Linked DNA regions of Rattus norvegicus. The protein of the gene in region 2 purifies or fractionates together with the protein of the main gene of each other region. This does not show direct contact. Links are inferred from orthologs where the notes say so. Each region holds a gene or a part of one and is shown on either strand. Other genes may lie near its edges.

Region 1 (6,097 bases), on a different chromosome or scaffold from region 2:
AGCATCGGCCTTGGCGTCATACCATGGAGAGTGGGAACTAACTCTTCCACTGGCCGGTTGTACTGGATGCAGCTGGAGTTATTACAGGGAAGTTAAGGGGGTGCCATGATGGGCTTATGACTGAGAGTCTTAGATGAGTGTGGAGAGCGCTGCTCCCAGCCAGTGGTGAACGGTGACGGCACACAGCTGGAACCTTTGCACTTGGGAGGTGGAAACAGGAGCGCCAGGAACTCAAGGTCAGCCTAAGTTAGATGAAGTTCTGCCTCAAACAAGACAAAACAAACAAAACAAAACCATGTGATTCCTCAGCATCATGGGTATCTAAGGCCTGGGAGGGCCTGAATGTTTAGCATCTTTGAACAGCTTTCTCTTCACAGTCTCTGCCAATTTAAAATTTCTTTCAAGACCACCCCACTAGTTAGCTTAAAATAGCCTCTAACTCAAGTTCCTTCCACTTCCCTCCCAGCTTTGGGATTATAGGTATGCATCACCACAGCCACTTAAGTTTAAATTGTATATTGTAATTATACTTTTTTATATTTTCATTTTTATGGTTTTGGTTTTTCAGTACAGGGTTTCCTCTGTGTAGCCCTGGCTGTCCTGGAACTCACTCTGTAGACCAGGCCGGCCTTGAACTCAAGAGATCTGCCTGCCTCTGCCTCCCAAAAGACAAGATTAAAGCTATGTACCACCACTTCTTGGCTTTTTATATCTATTTTTAATGTGTGTGTGTGTGTGTGTGTGTGTGTGTGTGTGTGTGTGTGTCCATGTGTACCGTAGCTCACAAGTGTAGGTTTGAGAACTATTTGTGGGGTTGGTTGTTTCCTTTAACAATGTGGGACTCAGTGATCAAACTCAGGTTATTAGGCTTGGCGGCAAGCACCTTTGCCTGCTGAGCCTCTTTGCTGGCCCTACTTCAAAATTGTTGCCATGTTGAATTCCGGGCCTGGGCATGCTGGGCAAGTGTTCAAACTCAGACCCATGCCTCATTTTTAAAGACATGCATTTTCTCTAATTAGCTGCTTCTCCTAAACCAAGACGATTTGGGGTGGAGGACTTTCTTTCTTGAGCTATGATTAGTGCTGGGGATACAGACCAGATGGAGAGCTCTTACCCAGCATGCGCAAGGCCCTTACTTTGCTTCTCGGCACTGAAAATAAGGGGGGGGGGGGGGAGGGTTATATAATTCACAGATCTTGAAACATTTTAATTCAAAGTGTACAACCTATGTCACAGTCACAAAGATAGGCAGACTTCAATACGAATCCCAAAAAGTTTAAATCACACGTGCCACTCCCCCCCCCCCCTTAATAGGCACTTCCTATTTTCTCTTGCCTCACTACCGACCACTAACTGCTTTCACGTTTTTCTGGATTTGCCAGAAGTGTATGTGTTTTAGTTAGGCTCCTGGTAGGTAGCTCAGGCTGGCACTGAACTCACTATTCAGTCCAATCTGGCCTGAACTTGAAACCCCCTTCCTTGGCTTCCCAGGATTTATACCAGTATTACAAGTATTCAGCGTCAGTCACAGCTAAGCATCTTACATAGATGGAACCACATAATATGTGGTCTTATGTGACTGCCCTTTCAAGCCAGTCCTTCTGGTTGATTCTGAGCCTCTAAAGGCTGAGTTGTCTCTGAAGCTATTCTTCTGGCTTGCTTTAACTTGCTTTCGAGATTCTCAAGTTGCTCTTGGTGTCAGGACGTTTTTCCCTTGTATTGATAATATACTACAGTGTGCATATATACACCAAATTTGATTTACCCATTCATATTTGGGTCGTATACTAAGGCAGAAAATTAACACGTGAACAGTTTTTCATGTGTAAACCATCGTCATTCACATTAACTTCTCTTTTCAGGTTGAACCGTGACACCTAACGGGGAAAGCTCTTTACAACACTAGACTGCATTACTTTCTCCTTGGAAGCCTAGGCGCACGCGCACGTTCGTGAGGAGGTGGAGAGGTGCCCCGCCCCTCGCTCAATAACTCTTCAGATAATCTCGCAGGCGAATCCTGAGTGGCGAGGAAATGCAACCAATCCACGAATGTGTCCGGAAAGCGGCGCTCCGCAGTGGTTGATAAAGTCTGATGACGTACGCACCATCCAATGCGCAAGCGAAGGGCTGGGCTAGAGTCAGCTGGTGAACCACCTGACCGGAGCCTGGAGCCGGAAGCTACCTATCCGGTAGACAGCTCCCCCTGCACCTACGGCTGCCATGGTGAGTGAGGACGCATGCGCGGGCTTGTGCGCCTAGGGTTGCGCGTCCCTGTTCCCCAAACTTCGGTTACCCCCTTATGGCTTGCACTCCGCTGTCACCCCCAGTCCACCCTGGGACCGAAAGGAAACAGAGATGGAAGGGAGGCGACCGGGAGGGCTGGAGAAGGAAGGCTCCGCTACCGGGTGTTTTGCGGCCGGGAGTAGTTTTGATGGCACAAGGGGCGGGGCATAAGGGCACTGGAATGAGAAGGGGCTGTGAAGCTAGGAAGGTCTCCTGGGTCACCTGCCTGACAAGTGGAAGAGCTCAGGCGTCCAATAGTGACCATGGATGGAGACTCAGTGTTACAAGCCATTTAGAGGGTCTGAAAGGCTTATATCCAGGAGGGAGATGGGTTTACAAGGCTGTCATGGTTCTCACCTCTTGCCTCTTTACCCACTAGACTTCCGCACTGACCCAAGGGCTGGAACGAATCCCAGACCAGCTTGGCTACCTGGTGCTGAGCGAAGGTGCAGTGCTAGCGGTGCGTTGTGGGAAAGCGAGGCATGGGGTGGTGGCGGTGACGGGGTCCTTTGGGGACACACAACCCAGAAATCCCTTCAAATATTTCCCGCTTTCTCTCAGTTGTCTACTTTTGTCCTCTCTGTGGTTCCCTGCTTGCCATATTTAATGTTTGGATATATGGTATAAATGCTTATTTCCAAAAGGTTGGGGTTATAGCTCAGTCAGGAGAGTGAGTTACTTAGCACGTACAAAGCCTTCAGTTCAATTCCCAATACTGCACAAAACCAAACACAGAGGCACGTGATCTGTAGCCCCAGCACTTGGAAGGTGGAAACCGGCAGATTAGAAATTCAGGTTCATCTTTGGCTATGTATCAAGTCAAATCACAGTCTGGACCACATGTAACTCAGCCTCAAAAAACAAAAACCAAACTTTACCAAAGTCATTCAATTAGTTAGTTACTTGTAGTATGTTTTTATTTGGGATATCTTTAAAAAAGCCGAGGACAACCTTTGGGAGTGAGTTCTCCTCCTGCCATGCGGGTCCTGAGGATTGAAATCCGGTCCTTAGGCAAGCACTTTTATGCTCTGAGCCATTTCACCTGCCCCTAGAATTTTGGGGGGCGGGGGCAAGACTTCTCTAGAGGCAAGGATTGAGCTGAGCTGCTAAGACAGAAGGTTGTGAACGAGGAAGAGAATTCTCAGGGCTGGGAGCTGGACATACTTGCCTGAGTGTAACAGCGCCTGGTTGTGGTCTTGTGTTGAAACAGTTTGAAGAGGAAGGATGCTGTGGTAAGACTCTGATACTGAACTTCCTATGGCTAGCTTCAATATCTTTGGACAAATCTTGAGGGTTACTTAAAGGGTTTTGAAAACATAAATGTGACTCACAGAAATGGTGTAGCATGACTGTCCCAGGAGAGCCATCTAAGAGACTGGCCGGGTAGCAATGAGAAGTAAGGGCTATAGACATTGTATCTATTTTTTTAGTGTCTGCACATGTGTGTGCCCATGCATATGCTAAGACCAGTGTAGGACATTAGAGACCTCCTCTTACCCTTCTCTGCCTTATTCCTTGAGGCAGGGTCTCATACTGAACCTGGAGCTAGACTGGCAACACTGAGCAAGCCTTAGCAATCAACCTGCCTGTACACCCACAGTACTGGGATTCCAGGTGTGAGCATGGCCATGTAGGGTAGGGGATTTGAACTCAGGTCCTCTTGCTTGTACAGCAAGCGCTCTTATCCACTGAGCCATTGCCACAGCCCAGAGATCACATCTTAGAGGTATTAATATATGTTGGTAATAACTAGGTAAAGTACTTCTGCATGTACCTTACCTTTCTGATGTACTCATCCTGTAGGACTCTGAGCAGGGAAAACCAGAAAAGTACTGTGGTACCTGAACAAATAAGAAAGTAAAAAAGGAAGCTGACCAAGGAGGTAGCTAAAGGGAATTTTGATGGCCTGACTATAGACAGGAGATGAGTGAGGTCTGAGATGAGTGAGATGGACTGATAGCAGTTATAGTACATTTATTATGTAGGCACTGTTATAATATTCTCATTGTTTTCTCATGAAACTTCCACAAGCACAGAATATGGGTCCAATATACAGATGGAGAAACTGAGAGCAAAAGGAACTAAATCTAGTAAAGGGCCCATTTAGAATCAGTGGGAAGAGGGAGTAGAAGCAGTTTGTCCAGAGAAGTCTGGACTACTGTCTTCTCATTGACCCTAGAAGTAGCCAGAGGGAAAGCTTCAAAGACAAAGTAGGTGTTTCTGGTTCATAGCCTTCAGACAAGGACAAGTGGGAAGACTGGGGACAAGTGGAACCTTCAAAGATTGAGCAGTTAGCTTAGTGGTAGAACATCTTCCTAGAATCCTCTGTGAGGGGCTGAAGGCATGGGTCAGTAGTAGAACACTTGCCCAGGAGTCCCCCAGTGAGGGGCTGGGGGCGTGGCTCAGTGGTAGAGCCCCTGCCTAGAATCCCCCCAGTGAGGGGCTGGGGGTGTGGCTCAGTGGTACAGCCCCTGCCTAGAATCCCCCAGTGAGGGGCTGGGGGCGTGGCTCAGTGGGAGAGCCCCTGCCTAGAATCCCCCAGTGAGGGGCTGGGGGTGTGGCTCAGTGGTACAGCCCCTGCCTAGAATCCCCCAGTGAGGGGCTGAGGGCGTGGCTCAGTGGTACAGCCCCTGCCTAGAATCCCCCAGTGAGGGGCTGGGGGTGTGATAGATCACTTGGTAATCACACCCTAGGTTTTGATTTTCTGCATGGCTATCAGTAGAGTTGCAAAAGAAGCCTGGTGTCTCAGAATGAGAAACAAAATGGCACAAGGGAAGGCAGCACCATCATAAAGGGGTTTTAGGTAGGATTTTTCTGAAGCTGGGTGATTTGGGACTACAGACAAGGGAGACCATAACAAGTATAGGAAACAGAGGTCCTGTGCCTTGAATTTGTTCCCAACTCTGGCCTCTTTCTTTTGTTCCTGCCCCCCTTCACCCACATGCAGTCATCTGGGGATCTTGAGAACGATGAGCAGGCAGCCAGCGCCATCTCAGAACTGGTCAGCACAGCCTGTGGCTTCCGGCTGCACCATGGCACGAACATCCCTTTCAAGCGCCTGTCTGGTGAGCTCCTGCCTTTGTTGGGTGGTTGCTTCTAGAGACCTCTCTGCTCAGGGAAGGAATTCCTGGCTCCATTCCACTGACTCCCAGTTCCTCCTGGGGTTCCTGGTTCAACTACTGCCTTCATATAGGTTCCTCTAGGACGAGTACGGAGCAGTAAGAACGAGAAGAGGTTTGCACAGCTGCCTGACCTCTGTGATCTACATAATTGCTTTGTCCCATCCCAGCCAATTTTGTTGTGATCCTCCATGGTGGCCGCTGTACACACTAACTCTCGCTCTCTTCCCTCTCCAGTGGTCTTTGGTGAACACACGCTGCTGGTGACTGTGTCAGGACAGAGGGTGTTTGTGGTCAAGAGGCAGAACCGAGGTCGGGAGCCTATTGATGTCTGAGCTATAAAAGGCACTGGCTGGAGAAGAGGACTGCCTCTGGGGCCTATGGCGGGGGGACATCATCTTCTACTGTGCTTGTTGGAGCTGGGCTTGTGCTTACCATCTCCTTCCTGACCCCCACCTGAGGCACAAAGGCTTGGCAACTTGTGTGCTAAGGAAAAAGGGAAACTATGACTAGGGGGATCCCCTTTCTTCCCTTCTGCATAATAAACTCTAGTCCAACCCTTCCAGGGCTCAGGATGTGTGCACACAGTGGTTTGTCTGGGTGGGGGTGAGGTTTCATTTTCTGCCTATCACCAACCTTCTAGGGAGACCGCTATGCCTCAGTCCCTCAGTCAGCGGGCCAAGACCACCACCAGG
Region 2 (6,022 bases):
AAAAGAAAAAAAGAAAAAAAGTGGATGGTGCTAAATCCTGTAGGTGAATAGCAGATTTCTGATACAAAACCTTACTTCCTTTCAATCGTTCCATAAATATTATTGTAAGAAAATCAGGATAAGTTTGGCTGGCCTGAGGCTCAGGAGTAGAGCACTCACCTAGCAACCATTGTGTCCTGTACTCATCTGTAGAGAGAAAGAGGGAGGTGGGGAGGAAGGAGAGGGAGTGGGCAGGGAAAGAATGAGTTAGAAAAGTTAGCATGAGAGTCCATTAAACAAATCAGGAACGATGCTTCAGCATTGCTCTGTGTCCACAGTAATGTGAAGTAGGAGATGGTCCAAGTAACAGAGGTGGGACAGAGAGTAGGACAGACGGCCTAGCACTGGTGAAGAGGGGTCAGCTCAAACTTGGATTACCTAGTTCTGAGAGTCCATAATTGGTCCCTTGCACCTTTTATCTTTCTACATAAACAGCCATACCAACAGTAACTTAAACAGTTGCCATACCAACAGTAACTTAAACAGTTAAGAATAAGAGCAACAATGGCTTTTACAGCTCACAGTGCATTTCATTTTATGTAGTTCTTTGCATTGGACAGTGAAGTATGCATACACAGAAGTGCATTAAATGCATACACACTCACACATACATAGAGTTATAGAGCAAATATGCCTGTAACAATTAGATTGAAGAAGGTGAACACTGCCTATACCCTATACGATCTCCTGTCTTCCTGTTAATCCCAGTAGCGTGTTCTCTCAGCCATCAGAAGGGATGCTGTTCCACCTGGGTAGTTTCCAGGACAGAAGTTGTCTCATGCATTATAAAATGTTTAGTGTCTTATGATCTCTGTCCTTGATTTGTCAGTTAAACACATCCTCCCCCAAATTATACCAACTAATTGCACGACATCAAATTCCTTCTGTATTGCTCTGTTCTACTCTCTTCGTGGTAGAATAAACTGTAGGGCGGGGATAAGAGCAGGAAGTTCCACTCATCTGCTAGAGTTCTTTACCCTTCACATTGAGTACTGTTGGGAGCCTGACTGCAGAGAGAGATGTGGCTGAGGCCTTCAATCTTCTCGGGATTGGAACCGTCTTAGGTCCCATGTTGCTGTTATTGAAAGATGGCCTTTTACCTTAGGTGATTTTAATTGAACCACTGATGAGTTCCTCAATGAAAACAGAGTAAGTAAGCAAAACAAAATGTATTTCAGCAAATGAGCTATTCCAGAGTTTATCAATATAGTACCCTTTGGCTTATATTGTAACTCCTGTGAGAGTTCCCAGGATCTAATAGAATAAAAATCCTGATCCAGCTGGTGAAGAAAACATTACATCTCCCCTTAACCTCCCGGCAGCCCTGTTCTCAACAGTTTCTGTTAAAGCATGAGTACCAAGGATGAGAATATAATACATTTAAAGCATTTTAAAGTAAAATTTCACATATATCGGTAATAATAATTAAAAAAAGTTCTCAAAACAAGAAAACAGCTGCAACAGTAAGGAAGGGAGATGATGTGCTTCTGGATTTTAGTGAAGGAAGAGCCAATCAGAGTCCAAATGGATTAGATGCTGAGTGTGAGAAGTCTCTGGTAAGATAAGCAGAAGGACCAAGATTCCACTAGTTGAAGTAAGAAAACCGTATGCATGTGGTTTGGGGTTTGTCTTTTCATGTTTGAGGAAGGAAGTCGAGTTTGGAGCGTGCTAAGTGTGAGTTGTAGAACTACACTAGGTTAAAGGTGCTGAGTAGCTAGTTGAATATGCAGGTGTGTACTCAGGAGAGATGTTTGGCTAGACTCTTTACCGGGGAGGTTGGCTTCCTTTAATCTTCTGAACTTTCTGTAGTTGAAGAGCTTTCTTTTTATACCTCCTAATGTGATAGCCACTAACTAGCCACAGTGCTAAGGAGATGTAGTTTCCTTGTGAGGGAGTGAGGCCCCTTTACTCCTTGTACTCTGCTCTGAGGGGAAACTCACAGTCTTTACTTTAGGTGGACCTTGATCTCTGTTTGTTTCCCTAAGTCTCGAGGCTTTGAAGTCATCAGTTCAAATTCTGAAAAAGCAGCCATTCCCTGCAGCCATTCCAGTGTTTCTTTTCTTTGCTGCCAGCTTACCTGATTTCATTCTCTCTCTCTTTAAGCCTTTCAAAAAGATTTTTAAAAATATTCTATTCCAGGATTGGCTCCAAATAACTGACTCTTTATATTCCTGGAAAGGAATTGTCTCACTTACTTTTCTTTAGGATGAAAGAGAAAAATGTCAAGTTAGTAATATTTCTGATAAATGTCAATCATATACCCCATTTAAGCCCTGATGGCTTTACACCTATAGTCCGTGGCTTGCTCAGCAGTGGGAGACCAAACTGGGTAACAGTGAGCCGTCTTTGAAAATGATACCAACAGCAAATCCCCATTCTTCTCTATTTTGCTTTCATGCAAATATATTAAAAATAGTAAAATGTTTTTAAGACTAAACTAAATTACCTTTTTCTGGTTCATATAGGACTGCCTTCCCCAGTGCCTGGAATCTGAGAAAAAATGGCAAACGTGGATAGTGACTCTAGGCATCTTATCTCTGAGGTAGAACATGAAGTGAATCCCGGACCTATGAATATCCAGTTTGACTCCTCAGACCTAAGATCTAAAAGGTAAGGTCTTAATGTGTTTATTTCATAATTAGGGCTTCTAACAATTAAGATATAATACATTACAGCCCAAAAGATCAATAGTATTGATAGGGAAATAATCGTTTTCTTACAGAATTTTTACTCTGATGTATATGCATATGGTGACACGAATCCTGTGCCCTCGTTTACACATTTTCGTGTCTTGGAATGAGCGTGTCTGCTATCAAGTAGGATGCATTTATGTAATTGACTCAAATATCTGTGATTACCCACTTCACGCAAAGTAATCCGATGCTAAAGATAGAAAAGGAATAGCCTTTTACCTTCACTTAATTTAAATACCAGCAGATAATTTAAAATAATTTCAGATTAAATAATTTTTCAATTTATAATTGGAAACCTCAAGAGAATCTTTAAAAAAAATAAGTAGAAAAGAGGACTAGTGAGTGAGTTCAAGAAAATAGTTACTGGGTTGAGAGATGCTGCGGTACAATGTGTGATGTGCAGAGGTGAGGACCGAAGGCTGCATCCCAGCTACCACATAAGCTGGATGTGAGCCTGTGCACACCTAAGACACAGTGACGGAGTGGGTAGAGACAGGAGGATCACCATGACTTGCTGGCTGCCAATCTGATTGAAAAACAAACAAACAAACAAACAAAAAAACCAAACAAACAGGAGTTCCAGACTAAGGAAGACCCTGGCTCTTAGAAATAAGACTGAGGATAATTGCCCTCCTCTGGCCTCAGTGCGTGAACATATTTGCGGGCACACATACACAAAGTGGTTACTTACAAAATAGGAAAAAAGAAGACCAAAAATGGCGGCACACACCTAGCAGTTAGCACTCAAGAGGCAGAGGCAGGAGATTGGGGCCAGCCTGGGCTACTTAGTGATACCTTGTCTATTGGAAAAGAAAAGAAGTAACACGCCAAAAAAAAAAACAAAAAAACAAAAAAAAAACAAAAAACCCGAGGCACTAGAGAGATGGCTCAGCAGGAAAGGCTCTTGCCACTAAGCCTGACTACTTGGGTTAGCTCCCCAAGCCTCACATGAGAGAGGGAGGAACTTACCCAGTGCCAGTGTTCTGACCTGCATATGCACAATAGCACTAGAGTGTTCTCACACTGAGTAAATGAAGGAAGAAAGTTATAAAAAGTTTAAACGAAAAATAAATAGTCTTCCGGTGAGGAAATGAGGTAGAAAAATTTATAAAATATCCTTAAAGTAGTTTTAACAGGAATATGCAAAATCTGCGAGAAAAACTAAAATGTTCCTGAATGATGCAAAATGGGATTTGGAGTATTTCATCAAATCTGAGATGCTCTTGGTTGTAAATTGCATTTAGAATATACAAAGCTTGGCATAGTGGTACACGCTTTTAACCCCAACACTTATAAGGTATAAACAGGCAGAGTCCTATGGGTTTGAGGCCAGTCTGCTCTAGAGTGAGTTCCAGGAGAGCTAGAGCTACGTACTGAGACCTTGTCTTGAATGGTAGGTAGGTAGAGGTAGACGGACAGACAGACAGACAGACAAAGAGGGTCTGGAATGAAGCTCAGTGGTTAAGAGAACTGGCTTTTCTTCCAGAGGACATGGGTTTGATTCCTAGCACATACATACATGATAGCTCATAACCATGTGTAATTCCAATCCCAGGAGATCTGACTCCTTCTGTCCTCCATCAGCAGTAGTCGTGCCCATGGTGCACAGACATTCTTGCAGACAAAGCACCCAGACACATAAACAGACCATTTCAAAAAACCCAACGCACAACACACAGGCGTACACTGCACACTGTCTGTGGGTATTATACATGTAAAAACCTGGACTTGGAATTTTTGCTTTCTTTTCACTGAAAGAACTCTTGACCATATTGTGTGTTATTTCTCATTTGTCTCTTATAGAACTATAAACGTTGATCATAGAAACAACATGCATTGGTTAAGACATTATAACACCTCACACTTAGAAAACCTGATTCTTCTGGATCACTTTTTGATTTGGTCATCAGACATGTTGTGTGTCCCTCCTGCGTGGACAGTTGTGAGAGTGGGTGACTTTGATGACACAACCTTCCTTGATTTTCTCCAGCAGCTCTGAGGATGCTCGCAGATCCCTGTACTTGTACTGTCCTGGTCTCACCAGATGGTGTCAGGAGAGGTCTTCTCTTACGGATCCCAGTCCTTCCTGAAGTGGTTCTGTGGTTTGACTGAGGTGGCCCAGGATGGCAGTTATTTGTCACACACCACTAGAGGTAGCCATCATACCACCACCCGGCCAACAGTGATTCAGACATTGGGTGTTAAAGATTATGAGGTGTCCTCATTTAGAAACGTTTAAATGTATATATTAGAAAAGTATGTTATCAGTATCAGTATGACAGAAAGTCATCGTCTACTCCAGGCAGGAAGAATAAAATTGTAATCCAGGGGGCTTCAATCCAGGAGAGAGGTTCTGCCAGTGAAGTATTTATCATACAAACTTGAGCACCTGAATTTGGGTTCCAGCATCCATATAAAATCCAGGAGCTGTGGTGCATACCTGTAATCGCCACACTAGGGAGGCAGGGCTTCTGGAGAGCATTGGCTAGCTAGCCCAGCCAAACTGATGAGCTCCAGGCTAGTGAGAGACTATCACAGTAAATAAATAAGCAAATGAATGAATGAATGAATGAATACACCACCTCAAATATGCCAATAAATGAAGGAGAGGGAGAGAGAGAGAGAGAGAGAGAGAGAGAGAGAGAGAGAGAGAGAGAAGCAGTTCAAGTAGATACCTGATGTGCTCACAAATGCATACATACACATGTGCACACAGAGATGTGCACCCAGAAAAAAAGAATTTTACCCACAAAGTTCGTGTGATCCTACACTCAAATCCCAGCAGTCAATTCTGAGGTTTCTGTGCATCAGCGATCTCACTGCTACACACACTGCTTTACGGTGTCAGGCGGTGTGTACACAGGGTCATGTAAGTTGCTAAGAAAGCAACTAAAATGTGTTTTCTTCCAGGACTGAAAACTTAATTATGGCATATTCATACAGTGGAATATTTTTCATCTAAAACAAAGGAGGTGGCCTTATGATATAACAAAATGGAACAACTCGTTATTTTGTTGAAAGGAAAAAGTGAAGTGCAGAGCAGTATCTGTAGTCCGCCACCATTCATGTACAGTCAGTTACTGCATTGTAGACCATGCAGTATATGTAGATGAGGTCTGGGGAGGGCTCAGATGGCTGAGAGGGACCGCACAGCTGAGGTAAGGGAGCCTGGTGCAGTGTTAGCAGATAGTCAGCACCTAGTCATTGCCACCCTCCTTCCTGTCAGCGGAGGGTTAGTCTGCTTAAGAGCTGCAGCAGACAGATGACAGTGAGCTGAGCCTGGCAACCCA
Region 3 (6,094 bases), about 130 Mb from region 2:
ACCCAGTAGGCAGAGGCAGGCAGAGAGGAGTATGAAGCCAGCCTGATCTATAGAGAGAGTTCCAAGACAGCCAGGGCTACACAGAGAAACCCCATCTTTAAAACACAGAATAGGGGTTAGAAGGTGGCTCAGTGGTTAAGCGCACAGACTACTCTTACAGAGGTCCTGAGTTCAATTCCCAGCAACCACATGGTGGCTCACAGCCATCTCTAATGGGATCCAATGCCCTCTTCTGGTGCGTCTGAAGACAGCTACAGTGTACTCAAATAAAAAATAAATCTTTAAAAAAAAAATAGAATATAAAAAATTTGCTTAAAGAAAAGCAATTCTGGGAGGACGGAAGGGGAGCTTTTTGAGGTGTAAATTGAATAAATATGTAAATTAATGAAAGAAAGAAAAGCAATTATGAGTAAGGTGAGGCACAGCACTGGAGAAGCCAAGGGCACAGCAGCCTTGCCAAGAACCACTGGGAGAGCCCACCTTTGCAGGAGATGAGGAATCCTCTTAAGTAAACCACCCCAGTCCTTCCTCCCTCCTGAGTCCTTCCTCCCAAGAAAGCAGCTGAGACATAGGCAAGAGTTGAAAATTTATTTAGAAAAAAGCAACCCCTCACCCAGCCCAGTGAGGCATTTCCGGGGCCCTGCTCTTCCCAATCACGATCCCTTTTCCACTCCAGCTTCCATCACACTATTATGAGGCTGCTACTTGGGTGAGGGGTTCCTCCAGGTACTGCACCAAGGCCTGGGCCTGCAAGGTGAGAGCACGAGTCAGTCCATGCATTGCTTATGCTCAGACAGATCCCAAAACCAGGTTGGCTCCCTACCCCACACTTACCAACCAACCATCCCCAGCCCACCCCCATGGCTCTTTGGCCCACCCCAGACATGAGTGAGGGGCTATGAGGACTCTAGAAAGGGGACATGTAAGGAACACAGTGAACAGGCACAGTGGCTGGGACCAATGCTGGGCTGATACAGTTGTGTGCTATGTAAAGATTGTCTTTGTATTATTCAAATGCAGACCTCTGTGCCAGCAGAGTTGAGTGCAGACTGGACTTTGGTTCATTTGGCTACGTATTTGTATACACTCTCTCTCACCCTCTCATCAGCTTACTAAAGAGCTGATGGTCTACAGCAGAGGCAGGAAGTAGAAGGTGGAACTTCTAGGAAGAGATAGGAATTCTGAGAGTCAGCCCTGAGGAGTCAGCAGCTGGACAAGGATGAAGAAGCAGGTGCCGGGACATGACGAAGATGGACAGGTAATGGGACATGGGATGGGACGTAGGCCAAGCCAGTATTGTTGGGTTAGAACAGTTGAGAATCTGCCCAGCTATAGTGCCCAAAATTTATAATAAAGCTAATTAAAGATTCCATGTCCTTATTCAGAGCAAGGGTGTGCATAGGTAGATCTGGTTCCAGCCCAGGAAGTTTGTAGCATAGGAATGTACTCACCTTGGCCTTGAGCATCCCGAAGCCTACAGTCTCCTTGGCATACATACATAGCAGAAGGTTGGCCACCCTGGTAATGGCTACACGGCCCTCCTGGTGGGAATGACATAATACACTGGGGCACTCTGCTTGACATCCTTGGTTCCTGCCTTCCCCAGGGTTCCTCTGGTCCTAGAGATAGATATTGTCTCCCAAGCTTGGCAGAGCAGGCAGTTCAGACAGGGAACTTTGCCCAGCATTTAAGCTATGGGGGTCTGAAACTGAATTCCAGCCTCAGCAGAGCCATGTCCTAACCAAGTTATCCTGGGGAACCAAGTCTTTGAGAAATTGGGGCTTTCTTCTCTAATGCTGAATTGTCTCAACAGGTGAGGGACCAGGAACAATAGCCCAACTTGTTTGTTGCTCTTGCAGTAGACTTGAGTTCGATTCCCAACAGCAACATTGTGCTGCCAATCATCTAGTTTAGGGGATCCAATGCCTTCTTTCACCCCGAGGGCACTGTGCATGCACATGGTGCTCAATATAACATCCGGGCATAGCAACTCACACATACAGAATAAAATAAACCTTAAAAAGGTAACAACGACCCCCACACACACACAACTTACATGTCTCTTTTCCTACTTTGTAACTGTTCAAAATGGAGATCAATTAAAGTGGATCAACATTTGAAAGTAAAAATAAAATGGCTCATTTATTAAGAGAAGTGATGCTTCACGGAACTTGCTTTAGTGTGTGTGCTAGGCTCTGACTCAAAAACACAAATTGTGTTTCTAGGAATAGATTCTAGAATCCCATACATTCTAAGCTACTGCTCTACCACTGAGCTCCACCATCTGTCCATTAAAATGCATTTCTTATAGCTGGGCTGCAGTGAATGCCTTTGAAGCTTCTGTTCAATGGCACCAGCCCTAGACCCAGCACCCGGTAGGAGTCCAGCAGTGGGTAAGAGGGGTGTAAAGAATGGGCAGCCAGAGAACAGCAGTGCTCTGCACACTATCATTCTTCAGAGGACTGGGAAGCCCACAGGCCTCTTTAGTGCTATCTCCTAATAACTTTTCTCCATTCTATGACACTCCATCCTTACTGATCTTTGTCCTGGCATCACTCTGCCCTAGGTCCTTTGCAACAACTGTTGTCGGAAATACGTGCAACGGCTGGTCGTTGGTGGTGCACGCCTTTAGTCCCAGTACTTGAGAGGCAGAGGCTAGCAGATTTCAGATTTTGAGGTCCCCCTGATTTTACAGACTTCCAGGATAACCAGGGCTGCGTAGAGAAGCCCTGTCTCAAAAAAAAAAACCAAAAAAAAAAAACAAAACCAAAAAAGAAAAAGAAAATAAACACTCAAAGAGATCCTGCCTCGGGGCTAGAGAGATGGCTCAGTGGTTAAGAGCACTGACTGCTCTTCCAGAGGTCCTGAGTTCAATTCCCAGCAACCACATGGTGGCTCACAACCATCTGTAATGGGATCCGATGCCCTCTTCTGGTGTGTCTGAAGACAGCTACAGTGTACTCATATAAATAAAATAAATCTTTAAAAAAAAAAAAAAAAGAGCTTATAAAAAAAAAAAAAAAAAAAAAGAGATCCTGCCTCAGTCTCTTGTGTACTAGTCTAGAGGAATAAGCCACCATAGCCAGCACTGCTAGAAATATTTTTCCAAAAGATCTCTTCATGGCTCTTACCCTTTCCAATCGTCTTCCAGATCTTTTAACAAATGTCTCCTTTTCGCTGAGATTGACCCTTACATAGGCCTGCACCCTACTCTCACTTCCTTTTTTAATATCTACGTTTTATTTGGCAAGGTGCGACTGTGAACACATGCAAATTCAGTATTCAGAAGGCAGAAGCACAATGATCATTGTAAGTTCGAGGTCAGCCTACTTTACTTCATACCATGCAGTCCATGAGGATAAATTTGAGACTGTCTTCATTAAACGCTTGGTTCCCGTTCCTATCGTATGCGGCCCAGATGTTACTGGCGATGGCCGCGGTGACCCGGGCATCTGTGTCCCCATAACCGGAGTAGGCCAGCAACGATCCCTCATTATTCAGCAGCCTGACAAGAATGGGAAGGATATCAACAAACTCAGGAAGAGTAAAAGGCCTGAGTTCCTATCCCAATTCCAGCTACTTGCGCTTTCAGGAAGCAAGAATCTGTGCTGGATATATCCAGGAACATGCTAATCAACTGTCGATTCCCCTTTCGGAGGAGGCCCTCACGCAGGGTTCCCGAAGCTGCAGTTTGCAACATTAGCCACCTCCCGGCGCAGGGCTCCTTCCCTACCCCTACTGCAGGGATCCGCACGCCGCCCCATTTCAGCGCTCGCTGTTTGGGTTCTTGTTGTTCACTCACAGGGTACTTTGGACTCCTCCAGTGTTGGCTTGGCTTAGCACCTGCGTCAAAGCCTTAGGACGCAGCATGCCTGCGTCTCTTAACCCTGACCTGCTCCCACAAACACTACAGTCGCAGCCTCTTGCCCTCCCTCATCGCTTCCGGTGGCCCGGAAGCCCAGCTACGAGGCACCTGGGAGTTGTAGTCACCGGGCTTATTTACTGAGGCTGTGGTCCAATTCCCGCCCCGCGCGGGGGCCTCTGGGAATCGTAGTTTTTTGTGACCGCTCAAGGAATTCTGGGAACTATAGTTCAGCTTTTCAGTCAGACCATGTGGCTGTGGGGGGGAAAAGAGCGGGAGCGCAAGGACAGTGGCAATGTTGGAAGGACTTTTAACCTCTTCCACGCGAAGGGCGCCTCCGTGCCTACTGGTCAATCGCAATCTAATAATAAATCTCTGTATCTGTTAGGCACATCCTTAGCCATTTTTTAAAGCAATATTGTACGCTAGTCACAATTCTGTAGAGTCTTGCTTTCTTGACACCCAGGGCTCAGAGAAGCCACGTAGGCAAACTCCAGGTCTCTGAAACCGTCCTTAATGGCCCCCTCGGGGCGGTTCCCGGGAGGTCACGACTGTTAGAATCTGCAGAGGTTTTAAGGACGCCCTGAGCCAGGAACGAACCTAGGCCTGGCCGATTCTGCCTTTCAAGAAAAATAGTTACCTCGGGGAACGGAGATGAGACGGCGACACCGAAAGTCCTTTGTCCAAACGGGACGGAACCGCGGGCGGCCCTGAATCTCCCGCCCTCTGCGCGGGCCGCACTATCCGGCCCGGGCCAGCTGCGCACCCCGCTCGGGCCCGGGCCGCCCCAACTGCAGTGCCCCCCCAGGCCGCCCGGGGCGCTGTGGCTGCAGCTGTCCGGAGGGGGCGGCGGAGCCTTGGGGAGGGGCGGGAGGGGGAGTTGGAGGCTCCGGAGCCGAGCCGGGCCGGGCGGGCCAGGAGGAGGAGGAGGAGGAGGAGCTGGGCGGGCTGGCGGGCGGCCGGGCGGCGGCATGGCGGAGCCGAGTGGGGCTGAGACGAGGCCCCAGATTCGGGTCACCGTCAAGACCCCCAAGGACAAGGAGGAGATCCTGATCTGCGATCAAGCCTCGGTCAAGGAGGTAGTAGGGCTGGCGCGGGAGAGAGGAGGGCGGGAGCAGCGCACTGAGGGGTCAGCGTAGAGAGGAAGACCTAGGGGAACGGCCTGGCGCCGGGGACGGGCCCCCGGCCGGGGCGGAACCCAGGGGCATCCAGGCGGGAGAGGCGGGTAGGGGGCGCCCTACCCGGGCTAGTCCGGGGAGTGTGGCGCGGGTAGGGGCCGATTTGGCCGCACTACCAGGGCTGGGGGCGTGGTGGGGGAGCTTGAGGAAGGGACACCTTGCTTGCAGGCTCCAGAAGGATCCTAGGCTTGAGGGGAGTGTGCGCCAGGGTTATTGGTGGAGGTTCCAGGCGCTGAGGTACAGTGAGGCCCGAGCGAGCTGCGGCTATGCTCCCCTGGGAGTGTCTCGTGGTGGTGGTGCTCTCTCTTCTCTCCACAGACTCTCCTTGTCGCAAATCGAAACGGTTGTGTAGTTCAGTTTTCTTTCTGCTCCACCACATTTACTGAGCGCAGTAGGTGCTCAACAAAATAATGTAGAATAAGTGAGGGACTATTGCCTGTCTGTGTCCCCCACTGCTTGAAGCTGCTTCAGAATTGCACATAGGCGGGGCTTAGGATAGGCCATCTGGTTGGAAGAGGGATCTTTGCTTAGCAAGTGCACTGTTTATAGTTAGAGTATGTGTTGTGTTGTTGTGTTTTGGAAGGAGCTGATAGAATCTAAAAAATTTAACTCGCCCCGGTGTAGCCTTTGGTAACACTGCTGCTTTCTCATGCAAGAATTTCAAGTCTCCCGGGAAAAGGTGAATTACAAAACAGCTCTTATTGAAGATGTGTCTGATGTCCAGACTTGAGTTCCTATTTCCCCCGGATGCGTTATTCACTCTCTGATCCTTATCTTTAAAATCCCAGCTCTTGGGAGGCAGAAGCAGGTGGATCTCTCTGAGTTCGAGGTCTATATGAAGCGTTCCAGGACAGCAAGAGCTAGAGACCCTCTAGATAGATGATGAATGGATGGATAGATGGATAGATAGAGATAGATAGATAGATAGATAGATAGATAGATAGATAAAATGAGATGGCAATGATAACTGACACACTAGATTACTCAATAGACCTCAGTAATTCCTAGACGATTTGTTATAATTATGAGGAAGCTGGGAATTAAGAGCAGGGAG

What was found. Proteins that work in one complex are often made in the same cells at the same time.
Region 1: the proteins of Slc38a9 (region 2) and Lamtor4 purify together in Homo sapiens (affinity purification with mass spectrometry; 4 studies listed by BioGRID and IntAct, with this or other methods). This does not show direct contact. The link is inferred for Rattus norvegicus from reciprocal best matches to the Homo sapiens genes SLC38A9 and LAMTOR4.
Region 3: the proteins of Slc38a9 (region 2) and Lamtor2 purify together in Homo sapiens (co-immunoprecipitation; 5 studies listed by BioGRID and IntAct, with this or other methods). This does not show direct contact. The link is inferred for Rattus norvegicus from reciprocal best matches to the Homo sapiens genes SLC38A9 and LAMTOR2.

What each region holds. Positions count from the first base shown.
Region 1 is NC_086030.1:22,370,118-22,376,214, forward strand, and holds Lamtor4 (ragulator complex protein LAMTOR4), read left to right. Parts: upstream 1-2,151; 5' UTR 2,152-2,220; coding exon 2,221-2,223; intron 2,224-2,662; coding exon 2,663-2,743; intron 2,744-5,230; coding exon 5,231-5,348; intron 5,349-5,639; coding exon 5,640-5,737; 3' UTR 5,738-5,973; downstream 5,974-6,097. UniProt on the Homo sapiens protein: As part of the Ragulator complex it is involved in amino acid sensing and activation of mTORC1, a signaling complex promoting cell growth in response to growth factors, energy levels, and amino acids.
Region 2 is NC_086020.1:46,033,558-46,039,579, forward strand, and holds the start of Slc38a9 (neutral amino acid transporter 9), read left to right. Parts: upstream 1-2,510; 5' UTR 2,511-2,539; coding exon 2,540-2,649; exon of another isoform or gene 2,650-6,022.
Region 3 is NC_086020.1:176,305,783-176,311,876, forward strand, and holds Lamtor2 (ragulator complex protein LAMTOR2), read right to left. Parts: upstream 3,947-6,094; 5' UTR 3,871-3,946; coding exon 3,803-3,870; intron 3,506-3,802; coding exon 3,343-3,505; exon of another isoform or gene 2,116-3,342; intron 1,620-2,115; coding exon of another isoform or gene 1,542-1,619; coding exon 1,452-1,541; intron 748-1,451; coding exon 691-747; 3' UTR 571-690; downstream 1-570. Other genes in the region: Ubqln4 (ubiquilin-4), read left to right, coding at 4,834-4,941. UniProt on the Homo sapiens protein: As part of the Ragulator complex it is involved in amino acid sensing and activation of mTORC1, a signaling complex promoting cell growth in response to growth factors, energy levels, and amino acids.